Linked DNA regions of Oryzias latipes. The main gene of each other region encodes a partner of the protein of the gene in region 2 in a complex. Links are inferred from orthologs where the notes say so. Each region holds a gene or a part of one and is shown on either strand. Other genes may lie near its edges.

Region 1 (4,265 bases), on a different chromosome or scaffold from region 2:
TCTTACTAATGGAGCAATGTGTTTTTCTGAGTAAGTTGATGATGCTGATCGCTAAGCTAACACTTTTAGCCATACTAGCATAACTTTCATTGTTAGCATAATTAGCATCTTAAGCAATGTGTTTTTCTGAGTGAGTTGATGATGCTGATCGCAATGCTAGCAATTCTAGCCAAAATAGCATATCTAGCAGTGTTAGCATATTTAGAGTCTTAAGCAATGTGTTTTTTCTGAGTACGCTGATGATGCTGATCGCTAAGCTAGCACTTTTAGCCATTTTAGCATAACTACCATAGTTAGGATGGTTAGTATATGCATTTTTTGGGTGGTGAGGGCGGCTGAGCTGCATAGAGGTGGGCAGCGATAGCGGAGGTGGTGTGTAGAAGCGGGTAGCGCCTACAATGCCACGTACGGCTTTAATTTACATCTATAATTTTGTCTGCTGTGAGTTTTCCTGAAACTTTTGCTATGAACTCTATTAAAAATTGTCATATATTAGCTGGATGGTTCATATTAAGGGCTATTTTTATTAAAACAATGACACAAAGTTAGGTGAAATTGTTTTTTAAAAGAGAAAATGAGGAACGCTTCACGAATTTGCGTGTCATCCTTGCGCAGGGGCCATGCTAATCTTCTCTGTATCGTTCCAATTTTAGTATATGCACTAGAGAACTAGTGCAATGAGCCAATGTCTCGGAGTGCTTTTTAAACCCTCCCCTCTGCTACTCTTCTCAAGCATGAGGTGTGATCTGAGGGAACACAGTGGACTTTAAAGGGAACCACAATTAAGACAAAACACCAAAAAAGATCCTCTGTTTCTCCCATGACACAGGATCGTCTCAGGTTCACCATCTCCATTCAAAGTTTGACTTAAATGCTTAAATCAGATTAAAATTACATTTTTTCTGACTTTGTGAGAGACTTCTTGGAAGGATTCTGGGAAAAGAAGGGGGGTTTTGTCACGTCAGACGAGTGCGACTGGTTTCCCGGAAGCGCCAGAACAAAAGGTCGAGTCAACACCCCTCCAGGAGGACCTTTACCAACCCCCACCGCAGCTCCAACCAACCCCCATGTGCTGATGGTTACACACACAGGGGTGGAGACTCTTTCAGACAAGGATCTGTGTGGAGAAAGAGAAAACTGGTCTGATCGCGTCAGACTGACGTCATTCTGCTGCTGCCTTCAAGCAGGAAGCCAAAGCGACGACTCGCTGCAGAAAGATCAGCTCAGAGACGAGAGTCTGTGCTTCTGCTTCCAGCAACAGGACGAACAGAACTCACATGGACCTAAATTCAATAAGAAGAACCCATCAAAGACCAGGATTATACACTTTCATTGGTGCGGAGACGATCCTGAGTGGCTTGCTTCCCTGTTGAGAGCCTGTCGGCTCCTGGTTGAACTAAATTCTGACCATTTCCTGCTTTTTCTCCAATATGCTGCCTCTGAAATTCTTTAAATACATTGTGAGCATCTGTGAGGTAAAATTCTACTTCAAAAATCCTGTTTCTAAACACAAAGATACAGTCATGTTTAATGCAGAAAATACCTGCTGTAGATCTGCCACATGGTGCCGCTGTTTCACCGCTCCACCTGGAGATTCATTACATGGAAGCGTTGCATTCAACTAAAATAAAGAAACGGTGGATCTTCATTATATTTATTCTGTGGAATTTTGTTCCAGTATTTCAAGAACTATAAAGGCAAATAACTTCATTTGCTCATCAAACATATAAGATGAGCTGCAATTAGAAGTTGAGAATGTGTTCGTGTCACAGACACATCCGGTCACCGGTCTGCTTTGTTTTTTTCATACTAACTTTATCCACAAACATGACGTTGGATATAGTTCTATTGACTAGTGTAAACTTTTTATTTGTGTCTGTGGTGAAGCAGAAAACGAGTCACAGCCTGAGTTTACTTCGATGTGAAGCTACAGAGGCAGACGGGGACCGTCAATAAAGTACACCAAAACACCCCAGACAAACAATAGCAGTTTCTCAGTAAGTCAACATAAATAACCTCTAAAACATTACAAGTACTCACTATTGTTCAAACAAACTCCACATAAATCCATACTATTACTTTATTACTGCTTTTCTTAGAGTGAACCAGCGTGTTGGAGTCACCCAAGTTGTAGACGTGTCCTTATCACCTCGCTTTAGGACAACTGCCGTAGTCCTAAAAAAACAGTGATCAAATGATCAAATAACTGGACCTTTTCTACGCGCTTTCTGGCCGTCCAAATGCAGAGAAATTGACGACAAACACCCACAGTCAGCAATAAATAAGAAGTTTAACGTTATTTACTGGAACGGAATGGAAATTTGGTGAAATTAGCGGGCCAGAAACTACTTTCAAATCCGCCATTTATTTAGATTAGAGCTTTGAACGTTAGCAACAATTAAATTTGTTTTTGTTTTCTACTAATAACACATCATTAAACTGTGTTTTCGACAAGACGAGCAACACATCTATTCCGTTATCTCACGAAAGCAGTAGTTATAATCTCGTAATATCGACTTAAATCACTCCAGAAAGTGAACTAATTGAGCAAACACGGCGGCCGTCGTCTTTCGTTTCCCTAAAAGCTTTGAACAATTTCTTTGATCTTAACCGCCACGCATGAGCTGCTCGTCTTCTCATGATTGTCGCATGTGTGAAGCTCAGAAAGCAGAATTCTGCTCCTCACCGTCGTTTGGACTCAGGTTGTTCGGGAGAAGTAGGACACGGAAGCACAAAAGCCGAACCCAGAGCGGTTCTGATCCGAACCTTTCACGCTGGAGTCCAGTAGGTGACTAGTCCGAGACATTCAGGGAACGTCCGAAAAAGAAAATCTCTCTTGAAAAAGTTTAGGAATTTAAAAAACAATAAAGAAAGCACAAGTAGGATTTTGTTTATCTATAAATGGACCCCCCCCACACACACACACACACTATAAAATCATTACTTAAATAAATAAAACAATAAACTAAGAAATGAGGTTTTTAAAGACAAACACAGTAAAAACATTGATTTCCACCTTTAATGAATGTCTGTGAATCGATCAATCGATGACCTCACGCGTTCATGGTTTTCATCCATTTACAGGTTCTTTCTGTTGAGAGAAGAAGTGAATCCCTTCCAGTTGTTTGTTTCTTTAGAAGAATCAGCAGCAGAGGATCTTTATGCTGCAACCGCGCACAGCGGGCCGCGAACTCGGGAGCTTCTGCACGGCGAGAGGAAGTCTTCCTCCGACGGGCCTGATCAGAGTGTTCCAACTTCTCAATCAATCAAATGGCCAGAATTGTTCCAATTTCTAGTATCAAACTTTGCTGTGTCCAATCAGAGAGCCGGATTCGTTCCAATTCCTTCAAATAACTGCCGGTTTTCCATTATTTTAAGACAAATAAATAGTTTGCATTATTTCAAGTGTCTAAAAGAGATTAATGTATTTGTGAAGAAGTGAACTCACGTTGTTACGTGTGTTTTAGTGAAAAAGGAAAAGGAAAGAACATATTTAATACAAAGTTTGCAGGCGGAGATGATTTTGTTTTTACAGGGAACGTTTATTTGCAATAAAAGTAGAATTGAAAAGAAAATATCAAGAATAAACTTCTTTTGAATCAGAACATTTTTAATAATAGGAATATTGTTTCCACAGAAAACTAAAATGTGTGCAGAGATTTAAATGGAAATGAGATCCAGCAAAGTACCAGGAGTGAAGAAGCTGAGAGGAGATTTCTCCGATGATGCTGTGATGATGAACCTGCTGGTGTTTCTGCGGCAGATCTAACCTCTGTCATTGTTCACCAGCAGAAACCTGGAAAAACACAGAACGACCCACTGACTGACTTTGGATGAAGAAAGAGGAAGACTCCCACCAGCTTTCATGGGAGAAGAAGGTCCAAGGTGAGGCAGGTCGTCAGTCTTGGGAAGGGATGGGAGAGGTGGAGTGGTGGATTCTGGACCCGTGCAGAAGCTCATGAGTTCATGTCTCACTTTGTACACTCAGACTGAAAAGGTTCAAATCATAGAAATGCAGGAGAAATCTAAAAGATTTAGCAAAGTATTTGCATCTCTAAATACTTTGAAATTGGGCTGATTTGGTGGTGAGAGATGATGCATTGAATCATTTGGCACAAAGAGATGTGAAAGTACTGAGTAAACAAATTGTTTTGTGCTTTTTTTCAGACTTAATCATCGACAAAACAAAGCTGCAGCTGCAGAACTCTCCGTGTTCTGGACAGATGTGTTCACCAAAGAGGGCAGAACTCTCTCATCACACATAA
Region 2 (3,964 bases):
AAAGTTCATACGCCGCTCCTTCTGAAGAAAATGACTTGCCGCTTGCTATCACTTATTCATAATCTCAGGGCTCACCGGCGCCCCTAACATGAGGCACGAGAACTGCTGGCCTCACCCAGCGAGTTTTTTGCCGGGGTTTAGCGCTCAGCACAGGAAACACGTCCCCCACATACAGTTATTTATAAAAGAAAACACTGTACATCATATACATCTGCTAAATTATGTAAACTCAGCTGATATAGTACAAGTGATTGAACCGACATACAGAGAGACAGCAGTGCCGTCTGACTGCATAGGTATTGCGCAATCCAAGGTGAGGCTCAGCGGGCTGGTGCCTCATCGCACGTCACTTCTTAGTATCTGAACGGCAAATGCGGAAATTCAGCGATTTTGAAAAGAAAAAACACCCAAAAATGGTACATTTAAATGGAAAATGACTGCAAAGCACAAATTACTGATTAAATATAATTGAATTTATTTTTTCTCTTTTCTTCCCATAATGACAGGTGAGGCACCTGCCTCTCCTGACTGCACGTCACTGTGTATAGAGTATATATTATTTTTAGTTTTATTTAGAATGTTGTATCATAAAGTTTGTTTGTTTTGAGAGAAGGTTAAATGCAATTTTTCCACTCCTGAAACAGTTCCAGCATAATAGTGTAGTGGCGGTCACGCGCACATTGCTGTCGGAGCTGGCAGCGCGGGGAATTGTGGGATATAATCCGCTTGGCCTGCTCTGGTCACGTTTGGGTTGAGTACGGGGTTTATTTTGCCTGTGTGTCCTTCCATCTGGCTGTTTTATGGCTGTTCACTCTTAGTTATTTAATCCTGTTGTGGTTACTTCTTTTTTGCACTGAGTTCAAAAAAATAAAGCCTAGAGATCCTCCTATCTTGTCTCTCCGCTTCCGTCATTGATGCATTGCTACAATACTGTAATACGTGTATTTCTTGAATGTTGGATCAACTGAAGAAAATCCTTTCATCAGTAAATGTTCATCTTTCTTTACTGCATCTTACAGTTTTAACAGTTGTTAGACAAAAAGAAATTACTTAAAATCAATGACAGTCACTTTGAAAAATATACTTTCAATCATTTTATGTTTGTTCTAAAAAATAAAGAAGGCAGGAACTGTGAGGAAAAAACTCTTCCCGGAGATCTTTTAGTGTGACACCGGTCCCTCACGTAAACACGTCCCCAGCACGCCGCTGCTTCCCGGCTGTAGTGTAAAAAGGGGGTGACGCGCTCAGACTCGTGTCGGTTCTGGTTCTGTTTGTTTCAGATGTTGTAGAACTTTCGTTATCGAGGAGCTACAGCGAGAAGACATCAGAGAGAATGCCGCGGGGCCGCGCGCCTTCGTCCGCGCGGCTGTTTTAGCGACGGGAACCCAGCTGCCGGTGGCGCGTGCACCCACCATGGAGGGGAACACTAACAGGGACTTCCTGAACTCTGACCCGCTGAAAACGGTCCGGTTCGGGGGCAGCGTGGCCGAGACGTTAGAGAAGCACCGGCAGGTACTCGTTTCCGCCGCAGACTGAAGCTTTGGTCCGGTTGTCAGTCCGTTCCATTAAGTTGTGACGTGGCTGCATATTTAAATAAAAAGAAAGCATTATGGAGGTATTTTCTAATGTTTGAATTTAAAGTAAATTGATTCGCATTGAATTGTAAAATTGGTTGCGGAGATACTAAAAAACACAAAGCTGGTGTGCATTAGGATGCAACTGATCCTGAACTGTTCTACTAGAATCTTGGTTGGTGGTTGTTGATGTTCTGTTCGGTTCTACAGGGGGACTTTGGTGATTATGAGCTGCTGCAGCATCAGCTGGCAGATCCAGACATTAAGGTGGGTTCCGGTATTGGGCCGACTGGTCCCGTTGGATGGTTGGTACTGAGCTGCTCCTCTGCTCCTCACAGGACGCTCAGATCATCAGCTGGCTGCAGGAGTTCAGGAGCTGCGTCACCTTGTTGAAGAAGGACCACGAGCAGCTGGTCCATACCGTTCTGGTGAGATGCAGAGAGTTCTGGGAGAGGAAATCCTCCTGTTGATTTCCTCATTAAACATCTGTGAATATTCCATTCTGGGTGGAACTAGGGTTGGGCGATGTCCCCTAATTTGGCCGTTGACGATGTTTGCTGTCAACCATCGGGATGGACGATGACATCGTCGGGGGGGGGGGGGGGGGGTATTTTTACATTTTTCGTTCTTATATAACTGCTATTCGTTATTTTGCTTTTTTCATTTTATTTCCCAACTAATGGTTAATCCGCAATGATCCAGTATAAACTGAGGGGAAGTGACTTTAACAGAAAAAGTAACAAGCAAAATAGAAAAGAAGTGGTCCGCTCCCGCACTTAACTAGTGAAGTTGACCGGCGGAGGGCGGATTTACAGCTTTATGTTTGATGGGAAGGGGGGGGGGGGGTACATGAGCGGTATGTGTGGGAGATTTAAGACTGCGATCCGTCCCGCAGCTCTAGGGGTACTAGCTACCGAACTCAGAACCGGGTCTAAACGTGTGTCTGAGCACAGTTCGGATCGTCAGCACACACAGCGGTTTGAGCTTCAAAGCAGAAATGTCGCTCAGTCCTTAGAAAACATTCAAACAATCACGCGGATTTGTGTTTCCAGTCGTGTCCCGACTAAATAAAGGCTGATGTTATTCTTACACGTTTACGTGCAGCGCCACCCAAAGCTAATGTTGTTAGCCCGTGTTAGCATACTGCTAATCCTGGCTTCGTTCAGAAAAAGCACTGACCACACGGATTAAAATTCAAATGATGAGCGAACAGGTGTTTCATAATAACCGTAACATTATTAAAAGCACGTTTAGAAGATCGTCTCGTATTTTACCGAGCTGACATGTCAATGTATATAGCTGCTCGCCGCTGTTATCGTTTTGTATTGATTTGTTACCTTCAATAAAGTTTGGAAAAAAAAGCCGCTCGGCGGAAGTTGTATCCTCTTCCGGTTTTCAAACTGCGCATGTGCGAATACTGCGCATGTGCGAATGATTTATTCCGACCGAAATTGTGACCTTAGTGAACGTTTTTATATTCTGAAAACATTTTTCTGGGCCCATGTACACGGTTGGATACTAATCCGACCATTGATCCCATCAAGATATTTTGTACATGTAACCGCGGCTTATGGTGTCGACGCGCAACGTGGCGGGGGCGTGGCATCACGATGGTGGTCTCTCCATCGGGATGTCAGTCACCCATCACGATGGACGATGATATCGTCCATCGGCACAACCCTAGGTGGAACCATTCACTGTAACAACGATTCACATCATCATTTGTGCTCGCTGATCCGGTTCTCTGACCTAAAGTGGATCCAGATTCTCTGACCTAAAGTGGATCCAGATCCTCTAACCTAAAGTGGATCCAGATCCTCTGTCCTAAAGTGGATCCAGATCCCCTGTCCTAAAGTGGATCCAGATCCCCTGTCCTAAAGTGGATCCGGATCCCCTGTCCTAAAGTGGATCCGGATCCTCTGACCTAAAGTGGATCCGGATCCTCTAACCTAAAGTGGATCCAGATCCTCTGTCCTAAAGTGGATCCAGATCCCCTGTCCTAAAGTGGATCCAGATCCCCTGTCCTAAAGTGGATCCGGATCCCCTGTCCTAAAGTGGATCCGGATCCTCTGTCCTAAAGTGGATCCAGATCCCCTGTCCTAAAGTGGATCCAGATCCCCTGTCCTAAAGTGGATCCGGATCCCCTGTCCTAAAGTGGATCCGGATCCCCTGTCCTAAAGTGGATCCGGATCCTCTGTCCTAAAGTGGATCCAGATCCTCTAACCTAAAGTGGATCCAGATCCCCTGTCCTAAAGTGGATCCGGATCCCCTGTCCTAAAGTGGATCCGGATCCTCTGTCCTAAAGTGGATCCAGATCCCCTGTCCTAAAGTGGATCCGGATCCCCTGTCCTAAAGTGGATCCGGATCCTCTGTCCTAAAGTGGATCCAGA
Region 3 (3,771 bases), on a different chromosome or scaffold from region 2:
TTTTTGTAAGAGTTTACTTTTATGCCAAATAGCTTGCCTGCTTGTGCATCTCCTGTGGATAATAGATGAGGGGGGCAGTTATTAAAAAGGCTTTAGAGAGAGATTGGGGGGGGGGGGGGGGTATAGGTATGATGGAGAGCTACTGAGGCCCAGGAGGACCAAACTAGACCAAGGAGGTTGAACTGTTTTTTTCTAAATGCTGCTGGCAACTTAACAGGGCAGTTGTGGTGCAGAAGTAGAGCGGTCAACCCCTGATCAAGAGGTTGCAGGTTTAATTCCCACCCTACCCGCCCATGTGTCCAAGGTTAAGACACTGAACCCCACCTTGCTTCTGGGGGTTATAGGTTGGCAACATGGTTTGGTAGCTGAGCCACAATCAGTGTGTGTGTTCATGGGTGAATGGAACTGTGACTGTAAAATGCTCCAAGAAGATAGTTAAGGGGCTAAATAAGTATACGCCGTTTACCATTCTGCTTCAATAAATCAACAAAAAGAACATGTCAGATACCAAGAGCGTTCTTTATCATTTAAAGAACAATTTAACAGCCATGTGAGATGTAAGTTGAAGCCTTACTGGATACAACAGTTCAAATTTGGTAGAATACTTTATAAAAACATAGGATGACAGTTTTCTGGTCTTTGACAAGAGTTTTAAAGAAATTAATCAAACTATAAAGAGATCATTTTCTGAGAAAATGCGCGCAAGTACTAACAGCTGTCCAGTTGAGAATCAGGGTATGCTTCAGGAAAAATAAATATAAACAGCTGATACAGTTTTATTGTTTCTGGTTAGTTTGCTGAGTTGCTGTCCTGCTCCTTCACTTTAGTTGACTTGTGTAAAATGTATACCTGATTGTCCTGAGCCTCCGTGGCTGCAGTTTAAATCTGAGACATCGATTCCTGTTTTTTTTCTTGTAGAGTCCCGATGAACTGACCAGTGTCATGTGTGACAAAGGTGGAGAGGACCAACACGTGCACCAGAACATGCACAAGTTCAGTTTAACAAACAGAAACAGCTCATCACTACAAAAAAGCAGCTCCCTGGATCAAAACAGAACCAGAGTTGAGGTGATTGTGATCAGATAGTAAGCAAAAGCTTTTCTCAGGAGTCCTCCTTTTCCTGGAACCTGAAACAAGACAAAGACCGGTCAGCTCCAGAACCGTACAGCAGGACAGGAGGGTCACGCTGACGCCACCTACCTGCAGTGGATGCAGGTGAAGAAGACCGTCTGTCCTTCATCTGCAGATCTCATCTGCCTAGTGTGGTAGATCATGCCTTCCTTATTGCAGCGAGTGCAGCGTCGGTCAATCTGCAAGCAAGGCAAGAAGCAAACCGTGAGGCGTTACCGCGACAACGAACGCTCCACTGCTGAGCGGACGGCTGCTTTTACCACAGGGCCCTTCAGCTCTGAGTTCTCCTCATCCTCCAGAGCCAGCAAGGTCTGCTCAGCGGGGTTGAAGATAACCCCAGACTGAATTTCTCTTCCCAAGAACTCTGCAGAGCAAAAGCAGCACAGTTAGAGGATTGGACAGATTAGACCTGTTAGAGAGACATCAGGAGAACCCTTTTGTCAGTGCAGACTGGCTCAAATAATTTCATGAAAGCATTAAGAGTAACTTTCAGCAACAGAGTTCTTCTGAATCCTCAACATCCTTCCCATGACCTGTGATAGTGTCACGTGGTAAAGGACACATGTATGAGCTGCCAGTGGATCTCCAACCCCAATATGAGGCCTTCCCAGGGAGGAGGAGTGAGCCCAGCAGAGGTTACTGTCTCATCACTGCTCCACAGACCGGCTGAGGAAGAAATTCAATGACTGATGTTGATCATATGCTAAATTGATTTGTCTGAAATGTTTCATTTGAGCAGTTTTAGGTGGTTGCTTTTTATTTCCCATTCTTGTTAAAGCATACTAGTCATTAAGAAAGGAGGGCAGTCAAATCAGAGAAACTAAAAAATCAAGGAAGAACTTACACATAATGTGAACTTAAAGGTAGTTGCTGATCAAAAACAAATAAAAAATGGAGGGAAATGTCAGACTGAGTGCCTCATTTTCAGTAAACCGGTAGTTTTGACTGTACTCTTGGTGCTTAAAAGCCATTCGGTTCTTGAGGGACATGAACCAGCAGCAGAGCAGGCAGACTCTCATGGCGGCGTGGACCGCTTACCTGTCACGGGCGTGCAGAGACAGCAGCGAGGGCAGCGCACCGTGTCGGACAGTCCTGGCAACGGCAGGACGCTGCCACAATCCTGACAGAAGTTGGGGTCGCGGCCGTTTGAAGACATTTGCTCTGGTTCTGAGGAAGCGCGGCGGCTATGTTCAGAGCACGTGACACAACAACAGTCCGACAGACAGATAGCTAACACATCATGCTAACTTGCAGGCACGTGGGTGGGCGCGCGCGGGCTCTCGGAGGAGTGATTTGAGGATAATTACCTGATCGATGGCTGTTTGCACAAAAACAGACAATAATTTACTTTCTCCTCGCCCGCATTGGGTGTTGTTGTGCGCTCTTCTTCTTCATGTTAACTAGAAGATGGTAATGTCACGTAAACACGAGCGCCTCGTAGTGGACAGAAATGTGAATGACACCATTGTAGTTTTCCTTCATTTGACCCTAAATTTTAAGGATGTTCCAACGTTTTACAACTCAAAAGACCTTATTTATTCGTAGTTGACTCTTATAAATTCATCACTTACTACTGTTGTAAGTTATATGAAGGTTTTAGACTACTGTAACTTTATAAGTGTGTTTTAATCCAGATATTTTCACCTCTAATGTTTCAGTTAGCCAAAAATCGAATTAATAAATGTCATTTTGTTTCCTTTCTCGCAAATGTTTGATGGTTTTTCTGTCTTTTTAAATCCATTATTTTAAAAAAAATAATTTTAAAATGTATTTAGCAAATTAAGCACTTAGCTTGCATCAAATTCCTTTGGTTGCTCAACATATTTAGTTGTTTTTTTGTTATTTCTCACAGCAGTATTATCTTGTAATATTGCATTTGTGGCATTGTTCATTATTGAGTTTTTCTAATAATTTCAGATGTTTAGCAAATTTAGGAATTATCAGTTCACCTGGGAGCTTTTGCATTTAAGTATTCAAGCTGGCAACAATTTAATTGAATAGCCTCCTTTATTTTTCCTAGGAATTAATGCTTTTCCTGGTAAATCCTGTTTGTACTTCTGGCCACAATTGCATATCTACATGTAGTTTTTTGCAGTTTCCTCTCAAATAATTGTAATTAAATTCCGATCTGTAAAAAATTGAGCCTCCAGTTTCACACACAAGGCAATTAATCCGTATTTATATCTTTGCCCACAGCCTCAAGACAAAATTAGATTTAAACAAGGTTTTTAAAAATAAATTACAACCTGATAAAATAAAAACAACCTGCTTGCCTATTTAAATCGACATAAATTGGCAAGCAGGGGGCATAAAACAACTAGAGCACATAATTATTGATAGTAGATTCATAACTCCCCAGGAACTTCAAGACAAACATGGAATAAATAACTTCTTGGAATATCAGCAACTTAAATCAATTATTACTAAAAAGTTTAAATACAGAGACAACGATTTCAAGCTACCAGACGTAGTTACCACTCTGATTAATTTCTCAATGAAAAAAACTCTCTCCAAAATATACAAACTTTTATGTAATTTAGATAATAATATTTCACTTCCGACAACAAAATGGGATGCGGATTTGAGCATCAGCACAGATTAAAGCTTCTGGTCAGAACTTTGTCTAAACACCTTTAAACT

What was found.
Region 1: rrn3 (region 2) and polr2k share a complex: the UniProt entries of both Homo sapiens proteins name them as parts of the pol I pre-initiation complex. The link is inferred for Oryzias latipes from reciprocal best matches to the Homo sapiens genes RRN3 and POLR2K.
Region 3: rrn3 (region 2) and znrd1 share a complex: the UniProt entries of both Homo sapiens proteins name them as parts of the pol I pre-initiation complex. The link is inferred for Oryzias latipes from reciprocal best matches to the Homo sapiens genes RRN3 and POLR1H.

The regions. Positions count from the first base shown.
Region 1 is NC_019869.2:7,013,698-7,017,962, reverse strand, and holds the start of polr2k (DNA-directed RNA polymerases I, II, and III subunit RPABC4), read right to left. Parts: upstream 2,801-4,265; 5' UTR 2,687-2,800; intron 1,622-2,686; 5' UTR 1,544-1,621; intron 1,461-1,543; exon of another isoform or gene 981-1,460; intron 677-980; exon of another isoform or gene 571-676; intron 1-570. UniProt on the Homo sapiens protein: DNA-dependent RNA polymerase catalyzes the transcription of DNA into RNA using the four ribonucleoside triphosphates as substrates.
Region 2 is NC_019866.2:25,544,614-25,548,577, reverse strand, and holds the start of rrn3 (RNA polymerase I-specific transcription initiation factor RRN3), read left to right. Parts: upstream 1-1,164; 5' UTR 1,165-1,413; coding exon 1,414-1,512; intron 1,513-1,784; coding exon 1,785-1,841; intron 1,842-1,912; coding exon 1,913-2,002; intron 2,003-3,964. UniProt on the Homo sapiens protein: Required for efficient transcription initiation by RNA polymerase I (Pol I). Required for the formation of the competent pre-initiation complex (PIC).
Region 3 is NC_019869.2:21,549,357-21,553,127, reverse strand, and holds znrd1 (DNA-directed RNA polymerase I subunit RPA12), read right to left. Parts: upstream 2,561-3,771; 5' UTR 2,439-2,560; exon of another isoform or gene 2,299-2,438; 5' UTR 2,288-2,298; coding exon 2,170-2,287; intron 1,496-2,169; coding exon 1,392-1,495; intron 1,311-1,391; coding exon 1,201-1,310; intron 1,128-1,200; coding exon 1,103-1,127; 3' UTR 501-1,102; downstream 1-500. UniProt on the Homo sapiens protein: Core component of RNA polymerase I (Pol I), a DNA-dependent RNA polymerase which synthesizes ribosomal RNA precursors using the four ribonucleoside triphosphates as substrates. Can mediate Pol I proofreading of the nascent RNA transcript.